Linked DNA regions of Canis lupus familiaris. The protein of the gene in region 1 purifies or fractionates together with the protein of each later gene. This does not show direct contact. Links are inferred from orthologs where the notes say so. Each region holds a gene or a part of one and is shown on either strand. Other genes may lie near its edges.

Region 1 (7,626 bases):
ATCACATTCAACTAGGTTTTTTTTTTTTTTTTTTTTTGCATCGTTAGACATTTGAATACTTAACTCCTAAATTAGAAATTTCCAAGTATTGAGACCCCTGGGTTGCTCAGTGGTTGAGTGCCTTCAGCTCAGGGTCCTGGGTTGGGAGTCCCACATCCGGCTCCCTGCATGGAGCCTGCTTCTCCATGTCTCTCATAAGTAAAATCTTAAAATTTCCAAGTATTATTACCCACTAATCCCAAGGTCAGCACAGAACAGGTGACTAGGGAAGCTTGGTATCTGCTCAAAGCTCTTCAGCCTTCCAGATCGAATTATTGTAATTTTAGGGGCACCTGGGTGGCCCAGTAGGTAAGCATGACTTGGATTTGGCTCAGGCCAGGTCAGGTTGTGAGATGGAGCCCCACCTTGTTTTCTATGCTGGGTGTGGAGCCTGCTTAAGACTCTCCATCTCCCTCCACCCCCTCCCAAATCTAGCTTTATAAAAGCTTTAGATCTCATATTCCTAGTTCCGTGGCTAATGCTAATTTCAATGTTTCCGGTCTCCTGAACCTCCTGCTGTGGCCCAAGACCAACCGCCAGTGATGAGACTGGTTTTAAGAGGACTATTTAGGGACGCCTGGGTGGCTCGGGGAGGGGGGTTGAGAATTCCAATCCCAGGGAAGAGTCCCACATTGGCCCCTTGTAGAGAAACCTGCCTCTCAGGAATAAAATTATTTTTTTTGTTGTTAGGAATAAAATTTTTAAAAAGTGACAATTTCATACTTTGCAGCTGAATTAGACAATCTGCTGGGCAACCATGATGGTTTTGAGAAATTCAACTACATACGACTCAAAATTCCTTGGTAGGCAGAAGCTCTTCCATGAAGAATAGGTCATTATGCAACTGTTGTGGGAAGGACTCCAGCATGGCCAGTCCTATCCTCCCAGCCCCTTTTCTTGCTGAGGGCCTCACTCCCCTGGGCCTGCCTCCACAGCAGACACACACTGCAAGACGCCAAGTTTCTTTAAAAATAATTTATTAGGTTTGGATCACAGAATTACAGGGATAGCACAAGGGTAGAGCCTGTGACCCCTTGGCTGTTCCCCATCTACAGATCTGGAACTACCTCTGTACACCAGGCTTGGCCCCCAGCATCCTCACACCCTAACAGCTACAGAGTATAGCGCCTGACTGTGCATGACAAGTTTAAATACACCCCATTCTCAACGAAGGGCTCCCCTCCATTTTCCAGGTCTTTCTTGCTTACAGTGAAATGGCACTAATAACTCTCAGGAATGAGTCACAGGCACTTATGCCTCAGAACTCTTAAGAATTTTTTTTTTTAACTTTTTAGAAGACCTTTCTTAACAGTAGTGACTAAAGCCTTGTGTTCCCAGTACTGTAAGCCCCAGGTTGCCTGAGGCATGAGGGCAGCAGCCCCTGGGAGTCCCCCATATCCTAGGGCGGCGATGGAGGAAGGGCAGGCCAGGCCAAGCATGATGAATAAGTCAATTTTATTGGGCTCAGACCAGGAGTCCATGGGTCTTGAGGACCTCTGTGTATTTGTCAATTTTCTTCTCCACATTCTTTTCGGCCTGTTTCCGTAGCCTCTGTGGGGTAAGAGAACAGACAATGGTCAATGGGTGTTGCCCAAGACCTTCCTCATCCTAGGTGCCCAATTCCACTCCCTGCCAAGTCGGGCCTCAGGCAGAGGCCTCTGGGGCTGAACAAAGACCACTCTGTCCAGAGAGATCATCCTCAAGGCCCTGCCCAAGAACACGGTACCCTTTGGTTCCAGCCCATCCTCACCATAAGCTGTTTCTTCTTCCGATAATGGATCTTGGCCTTTTCCTTCCTCTTCTCCTCCAGGGTGGCTGTTACTGCCTGGTACTTCCAGCCAACTTCGTGAGCCAGGCGCCCCAGGTAAGCAAACTGTGTGGGAGGGGAGAAGAAAGTTCTAAGCCAAGTGGAGCCAGGGTGGCAAGCTGTCCTGGAGGACCCAAATTTTCTCAGCAGGTCTCAGCTAAAGATACAGCCACCCCAAGGGGCTCCCTGCTCCTGCTGGCATCAGCTGAGCCATTGGCATTATCGGCACTGCCCACTGTGGCATCCGCAGACCATCGTGAGAAAGAGCCATCATCTGCCAGTTTCAGGGACCTCAGATTTGCCCCCTAGTCAGAGTACCCAGCCTAACCTGGAACTCACCTTTCGTGTAGGCTTCAGGCGTACCACCTTGAGGGCAGCTGGAACCACCATTCGCTTTTTCTGTTAGAGAAGGAGAGGAGCTTAAGAGCCCTGGAATAAGGGACAGACAGGGAAGAAGGCTGCTGGGACAGCGTCTCAGCCAATGCTGTTCTCATGAGGATCAAACAATGTAGGTACAACTGTGCAACATCATGGACGCCAGACACATGAATGCTGTACAGGAGGCTGTGGAGCTCACCTTGTCATAGGGTGGTGGGATCCCATCAAACACCTTGAGGCGGTCCAGGGCAGCCTGGCCTCGCTTGGTCTTGTGGGGCAGCATGCCTGTGGGTGGATGACCAACAGACTTGCTCAGTGGGGCTCATGAGGACCCTGCCCCCAACCCCACCCAACCCCACGGTCACAGTGGTGGCCTCAGATGGTAGTGCATGTGGAGTCATCTCATAGTCAGGAAACTCGAATACAAGTGGGAGAAGTCCTCATCACTGGCCACCCATCCCCTCGCCACCTGCAGTCCTCAGGCCCCGCTCACCTCTAACTGTCCGCCAAAAGATACGGCTGGGTGCCCGGAAGTGATAGGGGCCACGGGATGGGTTGGTGTTCATCCGCTTGCGGAGGAAGGCCAGGTACTTCACTGGGGAGAGAGAGGGTGTGAAACCTCAGCCCCCAGCCAAAGGCTAACTTCTTCCAACACACATCCATGCTCCCAAGGGCCTGTTCGGGAACGCAAATGAGCACTTCCCACCACCAGTGGGCTCGCCCCTGGAGCCAATGAAGACTGCGAATCTCCCAGGTCCACCCTCCAGCCCTCCTCCCAGGTCCTAACTTACACTTGTTTCTGTAGAAATTGCCAGAAATGTTGATGCCTTCACAGCGCACGACTACAACCTTCCGGCCTAGAGGAAAAGGAAAGTGCGAACAAAGGCTACAAGCGGCTCTACATATAAACTGGTTACCACCCACCTCCTGAAGACCCTGGAACATGGATCCTTCTGTGTGGAGCTGACCACAACGTACAAGAAAGCCAAGGCCTCTTGCAGGGGAACCTCTTGCCCCAAGAAGAACTTGATTTATGCTTATATTTACAGCCTGACTGAAAATTTTCCATCTCGAACTCCCAGACCCCAGGAGAGGGAGTAGCTAGTAGGTCTCAGAGCGGTGCATGGGGTTGATCTCATGGTCGTGAGACTCAAACGAAAGATGGTGATTGTTGCTCATCACTGACCGCTGGATGGGACCCATGCCCAGAGGAACCGTGGGCAGAGCAGACTTACCCAGAAGCACCTGTTTGGCCACAATGGCCGCCAGGCGGCCCAGGAGATGGCCTCGGCCATCGAGCACCAGGACCTGGTGGAGATAGGATAAAAAGGCTTAGATGCATCTTCAGCTTTGACTCCCCACCCAAAGCAACTAGTGCTGCTGGTTTGTCACCTTATCCCCCAGAGTGCCCTATCCACTAGCAGGCCTGAAAACCAGGACCCGAGGCCCACCGAACAGATGTGGCCAAGAAACCAAAGGTTGACACGATTTCCGTGAACAGAATTAAAACAAAGGCCTTTCCTCACATCTCAGCTGCCTAAAGGGCAGGAAGTCTTAAGCCCCAATTACATTCAAGGGTGAGAGGATGAGCTGGGATTTGAACAAAGGCTGGCAACAGTCTGTCCATTGATCCAGTCAGTGGGAGAGGCTCTGCAGAGTAGTCAGGAGCTGGTGCCAGATCTTATGTCGAATTTAGCTCAGCATCCCTGGGCGAACTTCTCAAAGTCAAATCCTTAGCTTCTTCACCACGAGTCAAGTCCCCACTCTTACCCAGTGCTTGTTATATACTTGTGATTGTTGGAAGGCAGAAGGATACAGAATCTAAAGCCAGACTTCCTGACAATGTGACTTTGGCTAAAAATCTCCAGCTTCCTCACCTGGAAGATGGGGATAACAATATCTGCCTCAGGAACATTATGGTATGTTAACCGTATTACACTAAATATAAACCCAATGGTGCCAGGCACAGTTGACTGCGCGAACACGTGTTCAGAGAACCTTACCACCTCTCCGGACTCCACAAACGTGCCTTTTCCTCCCCTTACCGCTCAGACTCATTACATAAATTCACATGGACACCCTTTCCGGAACCATCCTCGCTTTCATATTTAAAAAAATCAAGACAAGGAGTCCGCCGCTTCTGCGGTGTCCCTCAGGTGGCCATGGGCAGCGGAGCCTTTCATCAGTTCTCTGCTCCAGGAGCAACGAAAAGAGCAATTCGTTCCTGGACGTCCAGTAGGCAGGAACGCTCTGGACCCACCGCCTAAGACCTCCTACGAAAGCGTCCAGAGCTGCAGGCGGCGGGTGAGAACTCCCACGAGGGTGAGGGGACGCGCGCCTCGAGCAGGCTGGTAGCGCCCTCCATTTTGGCCAATCCTTGGCTTCTCACAGCCCAGGCGCTTTCCGTCGCTAAGGACACACGGGCCCAACTCGGCCAAGGCTTGGCCGAGAGGAAGACAAACGAGCCCTACTTTTAAAGTAGCTTTCTATTTTGGGAGCCCCCATTATGCCCCTAAGAGAAAAGGGGTAATGCCGCATTTTAGCCATTCCCGAACAAAAAGAAGCCATCCTAGTTATCTCCTGTTTCCCCGTTGCAGATTCCTTAGGCCGAAAGCTTCTCCTTTCGTTCAATTATCGAGTTTAGGTTTCACAACACACTTATGAGGGCAAAGAGGGCCCTACCCCATTCCGGCCTGGAACCCACCCGGCCCCACGCCTCCCCGGCCCGCGAAGAGCCCGCACCTGCCCCTCCGCCATCTTCGGCAGCCGCCTGGGAAAGGAGGAAGCCTCGGCGCAGGGTTTCTTATCCCTTGAAACAGGGGCGGAGGAAGTGACGCCGCATGGGCTGTACGGGCAGCTTTCCGTCTTTTCATTGGCTAGAGTGTTTTGCGCGTGCGCAAAGGGAGCCGCTAGAAGGCGGGTCGTCTTCTAACTGTCCAATCCGCGTCCAGTCCTTCTCGTCGGCTCTTAAGCAGCCATTGCTGTGCTGGGCGAGAGATCACGTGGGGTATGATGCGGCTCCGCTGGGACGGGACTGTCCAGCCTCGGCAGCCATATTTTTGAGGGGCTGCGAATTTCCGCGTTGGGGGCTTGGTCGGGTGTCTGCGGGGAGCGGAGGGAAGCGCCGTCACTCGCTGAAGCGACAGCAGGTTGCAGGGCACGCGGTGGCCCGCAGGGGGCCAGTGGGCTCTCTCTTCATCGCGCAGTCTAGGCTTAAAGGTCTGGATTCCAGTGGCTGTTCCGCCTCCCAGTGACTTGGCCGAACCCCACCCCCCCACCCCCCGGCCCCCGCCTGACCCTGTCTGGGCCTCAGTGTCCCCGTCTGTAAAACAGATGGAAATAGTTTGCCCTCTGAGCTCTAAGAGCGTACGAGGGAATGACTACCAGGCGGCTTCGAGGTTTTCGCTTCGGCTGCGTCCCTGGCCTCGGATGTCCTCCCCTCCAGCCCCACCTTCTGAAGCCTCAGACTGTCACAGTCCCAGTGCTTTCCTGCGGAGGAGTCCTCTCCTCCAGGGCGCCCCCCGGGATCTCAGGCTGCCGGGACGCGTACTCGCCGCGGGCTCCGAGGGCCTGTACTGCAGCCGCTGCACCGAGGCGCCCAGGGTCTTGTTCCCCTCAGATCCGGAGCCCCGGGCCGGCGGGTCCTGACTCCCCCCGACTGGGTCTCGGCGCTGCCGCGCACTGGTTCTGCACCCCAGGCGGCCTCAGAGAGCAGGGACTGAATGAAGCATTGCATTAACCGAAAAACCAGGATCCGCACCCAAACTGCCCCGTCCACATCCTGTCCCATCTACAGGCCTGGCGACAGCTGGTAGAAAAGGATGATTTATATACAATTTCTTGGGGGCAAGGACTTTGTACAGAGGGGGAGAGGTGGGGCTGGGGCTGGCTTTGGGGGCGTTGGGGGCGGGCGTTGCCTTGATCCTGGGGAGGGAGCGAGCGGGGCTGCGTGGTCGAGGAAGGGACCAGTCTCTAGCTGACTCCCTCCAGGTCCCAGCTCTGTGTCCTCGGGCAGATGGCTCCGCTCGCTGGGCCTCAGTGTCCTCTGTAAAACGGGATGAGAGATGTGTCTGTCTCAGTGGACTGTCTGGGGATCCGTGGACAGAAGAGAGGAAGGAGAGCACCAAGCTCAGTGCTCGGCACAGACTCAGTATTGAGAACAATTCCCTTTCCAGTGAGTGCCCACTGTGTGTTAGGGCATCACTGTCCAAGAGAACTAACTCTGCAAAGATGGAGACCGTGAGATCCCTGCGCTCCCACACAGCCGCAGAGCAGCCACGGTGAATGCCGAGTACTCCAAATGTGCCCAGTGCAACTGAGGAGCTGAGTTTTACATCTTACCTACTTTAAACTTAACTGGTAGTGTGTTTATTAGGAGAGCAGGAAAACCGAGTGGACAGAAGCAAGAACAGGACGAAAACTTCTCAGTGGATTACCTTTTCAAAAAAAATTGTAACAAAAATTATTGTACAAGGGAAGCCTGGGTGGCTCAGCAGTTGAGGGTCTGCCTTCAGCTCAGGGTGTGATCCTGGGGTCCTGTAGGGAGCCTGCTTCTCCCTTTGCCTGCATCTCTGCCTCTCTCTTGTGTGTCTCTCATGAATAAATAAATAAAATCTTTAAAAATTGTTTTGAAAAATTATTGTACAAAAACAAGTGCTAAAGTGAAAAATTATTTAAACTTAGAAACTGGGATCCCGGGCAGCCCCGGTGGCACAGTGGTTTAGTGCTGCCTGCAGCCTGGGATGTGATCCTGGAGACCCGGGATCGAGTCCCGCATCGGGCTCTCTGAATGAATAAATAAATAAATCTTAAAAAAAAAAAAAAAGTCTCTGTGTGACTATCATGAATAAATAAATAAAATCTTTAAAAATAAAGTAAACTTAGAAACTGATCCTGGGGCTGGGGGGGGGGGGGCGCTGTCAGTTACCCCATCTGACTCTTAATTTTGGCTCAGGTCCTGATCTCAGGGTGAGGGAATCAAGTCCCCAGTCAATTTGATGGTAGAAGTGGAGACTGGTTAAGATTCTCTCTCACCATCTCCCTCTGTTCCCCCCTCCCTGCTCTTTATCAAAAAGAAAAGAGAAAAAAAGGAGAGGTGCATGGGTGGTTCAGTTGGTTAAGTGTCTGCCTTCAGGTCAGGTCATGATCCCATGGGCTCCCTGCTCAGTGGGGAGTCTGCTTCTCCCCTTCCCTCTGCTCCTCCCCCCATTTGAGGGTGCTCTGTCTTCTCTCAAATAATAAAATCTTTTTTTTTTATTTTTATTTATTTATGATAGTCACAGGGAGAGAGAGAGAGAGGCAGAGACGCAGGCAGAGGGAGAAGCAGGCTCCATGCACCGGGAGCCCGATATGGGATTCGATCCCGGGTCTCCAGGATCGAGCCCTGGGCCAAAGGCAGACAC
Region 2 (7,634 bases), on another chromosome or scaffold:
AACTCCAGATCTTCATAGGTGGAAATTCTTAAAAGTCTTGCCTCAAACCTCCTACATTTCTTCCATCATCACTCTGCTCAAGATTCAAAACTCGGAGGGGAGAATTTTTTTGTTTTTAAAGATTTATTTATTTATTTGAGAGAGATGGAGGGACAGACCGCTCAAGCGGGAGGAGGGGGAAAGGGTCGGCAGAAGAAGAGGGAGAGAATCTCCAGCAGACCCTACTGAGTGTGGAGCCCGAGGTGGGGCTCAATCTCACCACCCTGAGATCATGGCCTAAGCCAAAACCAAGAGTCAAATGTTTAACTCATTGAGCCATCCAGGCTCACCCCCTGCCCCTCAGAGGAGAGAAGTTTAGAATCTCATGCCCCCTCCCACTGGGGAAATGGAAGGAGTTGAAAAGATCTTCCAAAGACCCCTTCAACTTATGTATTGAGAAGACAAAAATTTAGATTTGATACCCTACTTCCCTCTGCAATTCTACACAATGAAGGAGAGAACAGTCCACAAGAGAAATAGGATACTGTCAGGAAGTGGAAATGGAGATCGGCAGGCCAAGAAATAAAAAATATCATTAAGATTTCAGGATGTGAAGACCTACCTCATTGCATATAATTACATAGTGTTCCATAATTTATTTAATCATTCCCTCATGATGGACAACTAAAGTGGTCAAGAAAAAAGAGGCCTATGGCAACAGGCTAAGAAGAATAAGATTCTTGGGGCACCTGGGTGGCACAGTCCATTAAACGCCAAACTCTTGGTTTCAGCTGAGGCCATGATCTCAGGGTAGTGAGATTGAGCCTGTGTGGGGCTCAACACTCAGCGGGGAGTCTGCTCCAGATTCTCTGCCTCTCACTCTGCTCCTCTTCCTGTCCCTCCCCTATTCTCTCTAAAATAAATGAAATCTTAAGAAGGGGGGGCAACTGGGGGGCTCAGTCAGTTGAGCATCTGACTCTTGATTTTAGCTCAGGACATGATCACAGGGATGTGGGATGGATCCCCACGTGGGGCTTCGCACTCAGCACAGAATCTGCTTGTCCTCTCCATCTGCTCCTCCCGACCCCCACCCACTTGAATGCACATGTGTGCACACCCATGCACACACATTCTCTGTCGCTAAAAAAATAAAATCTTAAAGTAAAATTCTTGAGGCTGTAGATGGCCATTTCTCATTCTCACTCACTATCCTCGTTTTGAAATAAAAAGTCTTGTGTCTTGCCTAGTGCTGGAGCATATGGACAATGCTCAGTAAACAACACGTATTCAGTTAAGTGAAGAATTTGGGGGTTGAATTTGGGGGTCTTGCTCTTTCCCTCTGTATTTTGTGGAACAATGGCTTAGGCACTGAGAAGAAGTACTCTCTTAGCACCATCTGCTGGCATTGAAAACCTTTCCTGAATCATGGCCTCCAAGTCTTTCAGCCAGTATTGTTAATTGTCCTGATATTCCTCCTCTCCTTAATACCTTTAGCACCGAAGAATTTACCTTTTATCTGTACACAGATGCAGTTACAAAAGAGTGACTTATTTTTGTTCCTTATTTACTATCTAATAAATGTTTTACACTTTAGTGATCCTTGTTTTTGCCTTTTTACAAAGTGAGACACGTGAGATGCTGAGTGAGAAGGAGCTTCACACCAGACTTTGACTCCAAAGACTGTGTTGTCCTTTGAAGTTTATTCGTCAGGTAATGAGCTCTGTGAATGGCACTATCTTTCTGGCTGGACTAGTTACATAGCACATAGCAATATGATGCTTTGAGTTTAGTTACAAAACCTCAGCAGGTGGCCACTATTGTGACAGGAGCATTAGAAGACAAAGAAGTAGGAGATAAGTTCCCTGCCTTCAGAGCACCCAACCTAATCAAGGAAGCAATAAAAAAAATAGTATAGGATAAAGTCTGTGGTGATGCCTGCTAAGTGCCCAGTGCCCAAATAATGGCATTGGGATACATATACGTACACTGTGTTACATATTTGGCAATGCCTGGAGACATTGTCACATCTGGGGTGCGGATACTACTGGTATGTAGTTGGTAGAAGCCTGGGGATGCTGCTAAACATCCCACAATGCATGGGACAGCCCCCCATACTAAAGAATTATCTGGCCCAAAAAAGCCAACAGGGCTAAGACTGAGAAACCTTTGTTAGACCTTTAGCAACCACCATGAGCAAAGCAGGCATGGTCCCTGCCCTCCTAGTATCATGAGGAAATGTTTAAAATATAATAATGTGTGAGGGGCACCTGGGTAGCTCAGTGGTAGAGCATCTGCCTTTGGCTGGGGTCTTGGTACCGAGATCCTAGGATCCAGTCCTGCATCAGGCTCCACGACGGGAGCCTGCTTCTCCCTCTATGTCTCTGTGTCTCTCATGAGTAAATAAAATCTTAAAAACATATATATAATATAATAATGTATTGAAGGAATTCAGAGAAAGACACTAGAGTCTTGCTAAAGTTCAGCCCATAGACTTGAAGCATGGCATCACCGGGAAGCAGGCTAAAACTGCACAGTATCAACCCCCGGCCTCCTAGTGAATGAAAATCTGCATTTTAACGGGACCCTCAGGTGACTACGATGCATATTAATGCTGGAGACACCCTGCACTGGGGGTTTCCAGAAGACAGAACGTGGGCTATTTTTCCTTGTTTAATGAAGACCGGGAAAGAAGGAAGCAAATTCCGGGTGTTGAGAGGTATATAAAGAAGATCCCGAAACGGGCAAGGAGGAATTTCTATTCAATCCAACATAGCGTTTGCCTGCTTACCGCCAGGCATCGTGCTAAGCTCTCTAAATGGAGTATTTCACAGAATCCTCGGAACGCTATTGGGTAGGTCCATCTTATGGGTGAGCAGACCAAGGTACAGAGGTTAGATAACTTGCTCCGGGACCCACTGACTGTCTACCGTGCGGAGTCGTCCACGAACACCTCCACCCACACGGACGAGCCAAAGTCACGGCCCCAGCCCTCCCCACCCAGCAAAAAGCCGATCATGCCAGCCTGTCGTCCTCTCTCTTTTTTTAAGATTTTATTTATCCATGAGAGACACACACACACAGAAGCAGAGACACAGGCAGCGGGAGAAGCAGGCTCCACGCAGGGAGCCCGACGCGGGACTCGATCCTCGGTCTCCAGGATCACGCCCCAGGCTGAAGGCGACGCTAAACCGCTGCGCCACCCGGGCCGCCCCAGTCCTCCTCGAACTCGCGCCGCCAACCGGAAGTCGGAGGAGCGGCGCGCCCTCCACACCGGAAGTCGCAGATGCAACTTGGGAAGCGTTTCCTTGTTTATAAGCCTTGCCACCAGTGTTCAACGAATATAGTAAACGAAGAGAGCGGCTTATGAAGATGACACGGATCCTAAAGTGCTTGGAAGCTCTGTGCAACTTCGGCCGGAATCTGTGTTAGCGGCAGCTAACGGCGCCAGCTGTCGGGGGCGGTCCTCCGAGGGCTAGAAGACCCATCTCTATGGTCAAGCAAACCGAGAGCGGTCCTCTCTCCCCCACGTGGTGGGGCTGCGCATGAGCAGTAGCCGCTGCTCGGGAAACATGGCGGAGCAAGAGTGAGTGTTCGGGCTTTGAATCTCAGTGGGGTCTTGAGCATCTGGTGCCATCCACGGTGTTTATTCCTCCGCGGCGCGAATAGAAGGGTTCTTGTGGACTGAAGGAAGGACAAGAGAAAAGACTCCAGATTTCAAAGGGTGGGATGAGGAGTAAAGCCGTAGGGTTCGGGCTGACGGTCAGACGGAGGAAGCCGCCGTCAAGCCCGAGTTACCTGGAGCGGCGGCGGCGGGCTGAAGAGTGCCGGACTTGGGTTCGCTCAGCCTGACGCAAGTACTACCCCTGCAGATGAGTCTACACCCATCCTAACCCCTCGGGGTTTCTCTAGAATCACGTAGCTGCTAGTGTCTTTAAAAGGCTGTGGCAGTAAAAGCTCCATGGAGGCCTAGGGAGGGCCAGTGGCCCCAGGGTTCGTGACCTTTCACTGCTTTAGGAACGAGGGTTCCCTCGTTAAGGGGTCCATCTTGAGGACTGAAGTCAGAAACCACAGGTTTCAGGGAAGTCTGGCTTTAGGAATTTGAAGAGAGTAAGGTTTCTCGAAGCCCAAGAGATGATTCAGAATTTCATTTATGATTTGCTTTTTAGACACTTTCGCTGATTGCGATTTTCTTATCAGGCAAAGAAAAAAGATCCCTTTGGTTCCAGAAAATCTCCTGAAAAAGAGGAAGGCTTATCAGGCCCTTAAAGCCACTCAAGCAAAGCAGGCGCTTTTGGACAAGAAGGAGGTAATGATGGGGAACCAAGAGAGGGGAATTGGAATGTGTGTTTGGTGAGTTCTGTGTAGGGTGTGTTAAACTAGATTTGGCGTCGTCGACGGTGCTGTCGCCATCAATTCTAACAGGTGTACGGTTCGTGTCTTCGTTTAACAGGTGTTTATGAAACGCTTTCTGCAGGTAAAATGCAGTAGAGTTTGGTAAGGAAAAAGTGGAGTGGAGATTGTACTATAGGTTCATACCAAGTGATTTGAAAGACCACACATGCTTGTGTACCTGGAAGAAAATAATATTATACTTAAAGGTGCCAAACAGTTTTTTGCTATTTGCTAAACGTTTTTGGAAAACAGATATTTTGAAGTCAGGAAAATGAAACAAGCTCATGCTTATTCTGTACCTCATGATGCTTAACCCAATGTTAGGTTCCATAAATATGTGTTGGTAAACGCTGGCTAACAGCATGTAAATTAACTTGTTTATTTATCAGAGGCTTTTCCTAGGAGTTTCAGAGTTTTCACACTTCCATCTTCACTTGGGTACCTCATTTTTCCTTTAAATAGAATAGAAGGTGTTTGTTTGCTTAGGTTTGCGGGACATAATGGAAAATACATTCAATCGAGAGTGCCTGATGAATTACTATTGTAGAAGTAAAAAATAGAGGCACAAAATGGTGATGATGGTCTCCCTTCTTTCAGCAGAATAAAGGAAAAAAGCTCAAGTTTAAGCGACTGGAGTGGTTCCTTCATGATTCCTGGCGGCAGCAGCGTGACAGGGTGCGCCTCAGACGCCTGGAAGTGAAACCTCATGGCTTAGAAGTGCCAGATAAACATTCCTTGGCCTTCATTGTACGCATCCAAAGGTGGGGAACTTGCCACATTCCCAAGGCTGAAGCAAATTGTTGGTTCAGCTTTAGACTCCTTTCTGGGGGAAGTGAGTTATAATAGGCTTTAAGCCACTCGGGCAAGTTGTGCTGGGAATTCAGGGTCAAGCACAACGTGGTTTTTGTCTTTAAGGTTTTAGGAGAGTGACCTTAGGCAAACAGACATGAAAATACACCCAGTGCTGTGAAGGTTGACTGTTGTTGGAGCAGTACTGGTTCAGGACACTCTAAAACAGGGCCTTGAAGCTGAGACCTGCAAACATGGAAGGAATTCACAAATTTCAAGGAAGGCTTTCCAGGCATAGATGCAGAAAGTCCTGAATTGAGAGAATCAAGGCTTCTTTCTAGGAACTGAACCAAGGTCAAGTAAATGGAACGTATTTAGTGCTGGGGAGAGTTCATAAAGCTTTTTTCTCACTTAATTGTACTTTACCCAGTCTACCTGCATGTACAGCTGCCTCCCTCTTTCCAGTACCCAGGCACCCAAACCAGAAAAGTGTGTGCTTTAAATATTTTTGAGTCCTCGTTATTAACCTTCCTACCATTTCTCATAATTTCTTTCCTGGACTGTCGCATTAGCTTCCTGAGTTTCCCTGCCTCTGATGTCACACTTTCAGATCTGTCTTATATGCTCTCCTCAGTGATCATAAAGAAGAAAGGTGATTGTGTTTCCTTTCCCTAAAGTCTTTGTGCTGTTACTGCCCAGGCAGCAAGTCCAGCTTCCTTTGCTTGACGTTCACAGCCCTACACACACACTCACACACCCCCAACACACACTGAATCAGGGCCTCCCTCTGTGTTCTTATAGCACCTCAGGCATTGCTCCACATCATGTGAGAATGATTGTTTACATAGCTGCCACCTCCTGACCTGTTAGACATAGTCTGTGTCTTGCTCTCTTGATGCCCTGTAGTGGCAAACATTTTATAGTTGCTTGCTGGCCTTACGTAAACTGAATAAAGCCTGACGTCCTCTGCTGTTCATTTCAGGATTAATGGGGTGAGTTCACTGGTACAGAGGACCATTGCAAGGCTGCGCCTGAAGAAGATCTTCAGTGGTGTCTTTTTCAGAGTAACCCCCCAGACCATGAAGACACTGCGGATAGTGGAACCTTATGTGACCTGGGGGTGAGAAGATTTTTTGGGTGTGTGGATTCATATTAGATTGTATTTGAGCGTGATGAGAACACTACGATGCATGGGATACTCTTCTCTGAGGCTTGTGTTGCTGCTTCAAGAAATATTTTGTTGTGACCACAGTCACCAGAAATCAGCTGCCAGCCGTAGAACCTTGGAACGTGGGACAAGTAGAACAGGAGATAGCAGAGCTGCTGATAATGTGCCATGAGCAGTACCGTGGCAGGGCTTGTTCACTTGTAGGCTGAGGCTGAGTAAGAGGGGTAGAAAGAAATTAATTTGGGGGGTCTTCAAACAGCTTGGGGCAGTGTTTATGTAAGAGTAGTGTTCCTTCAAATATTAAAACCCAGCAAAAAAAAAAAAAAACCCAGCAAAGGCCTGGATTCTTTTTTTTTTTTTGAGATTTTACTTATTTATTTATGAGAGACAGAGAGAGAGAGAGGCAGAGACACAGGCAGAGGGAGAAGCAGGCTCCATGCAGGGAGCCTAATGTGGGACTTGATCCCAGGATTCCAGGATTACGCCCTGGGTCGAAGGCAGCACTAAACTGCTGAACCACCCAGGGATCACCAAGGCCTGGATTTAATTTCAAATTCTGGCACCATCTTGAGTAAGGGTCATATAAGGTAAGAGTCCTGAACTGTAAGCCAGCGCTTATTTTATTTTTACCTGGGAAAGTAAATTTTTTTTCTGTGGTGAATGTTTATATCCATAAATTTTAATTTCTAATTACCTAGTCAAGGCCACTCTGGTTTTTGACCCCCTTCTTCACTTGTGTAATTCCAAGCGTCCCAGCTGTAGTGTGATAACAGATTTCTTGGTGGGAAGAAGGGGGGGTGTGGACAAATCTCTCCTCGGCCAGGCTGCAGGACTGAGACAGGCCAGTGTCAGTTACAGTGCCAGGGGCTGATAAGGCTGTACTTCATTCTGCCTCACATAGATTTCCAAATCTGAAGTCTGTCCGGGAACTCATCTTGAAACGTGGACAAGCCAAGGTCAAGAATAAAACCATCCCTTTGACGGACAACACAGTGATTGAGGAGCATCTGGGTGAGTGTTCCACTTTACAGGTCAGTTGGGGTACAAAGCAAGGATCTCTGGTCTTCTTGGTGTGGAATTTAGGTCAAATTCTTCTTGGGGTCCCAAGAATCTACTAGAGTGCCCAGCTTTGGCACGTAAGAGCCTCATAGTATATACTGGAGAAGTGTTGAATAAAGGAATCTGTACCTTTTGTTTCTTAGGGAAGTATGGTGTTATTTGCTTGGAAGACCTCATTCATGAAATTGCCTTTCCGGGAAAGAATTTCCAGGCCATCTCTGCGTTCTTACGTCCTTTCCACCTCTCA

Evidence for each region.
Region 2: the proteins of RPL13A (region 1) and RPL7L1 purify together in Homo sapiens (affinity purification with mass spectrometry; 3 studies listed by BioGRID and IntAct, with this or other methods). This does not show direct contact. The link is inferred for Canis lupus familiaris from reciprocal best matches to the Homo sapiens genes RPL13A and RPL7L1.

What each region holds. Positions count from the first base shown.
Region 1 is NC_049222.1:107,685,473-107,693,098, forward strand, and holds RPL13A (60S ribosomal protein L13a), read right to left. Parts: upstream 5,080-7,626; 5' UTR 4,982-5,079; coding exon 4,967-4,981; intron 3,533-4,966; coding exon 3,460-3,532; intron 3,414-3,459; exon of another isoform or gene 3,330-3,413; intron 3,082-3,329; coding exon 3,016-3,081; intron 2,820-3,015; coding exon 2,718-2,819; intron 2,679-2,717; exon of another isoform or gene 2,594-2,678; intron 2,510-2,593; coding exon 2,424-2,509; intron 2,387-2,423; exon of another isoform or gene 2,314-2,386; intron 2,246-2,313; coding exon 2,186-2,245; intron 2,126-2,185; exon of another isoform or gene 2,039-2,125; intron 1,913-2,038; coding exon 1,790-1,912; intron 1,591-1,789; coding exon 1,504-1,590; 3' UTR 1,000-1,503; downstream 1-999. Other genes in the region: FLT3LG (fms-related tyrosine kinase 3 ligand precursor), read right to left, coding at 6,051-6,269. UniProt on the Homo sapiens protein: Associated with ribosomes but is not required for canonical ribosome function and has extra-ribosomal functions.
Region 2 is NC_049233.1:11,629,534-11,637,167, forward strand, and holds the start of RPL7L1 (60S ribosomal protein L7-like 1), read left to right. Parts: upstream 1-3,255; 5' UTR 3,256-3,521; coding exon 3,522-3,562; intron 3,563-4,176; coding exon 4,177-4,285; intron 4,286-4,968; coding exon 4,969-5,132; intron 5,133-6,142; coding exon 6,143-6,280; intron 6,281-7,229; coding exon 7,230-7,339; intron 7,340-7,530; coding exon 7,531-7,634.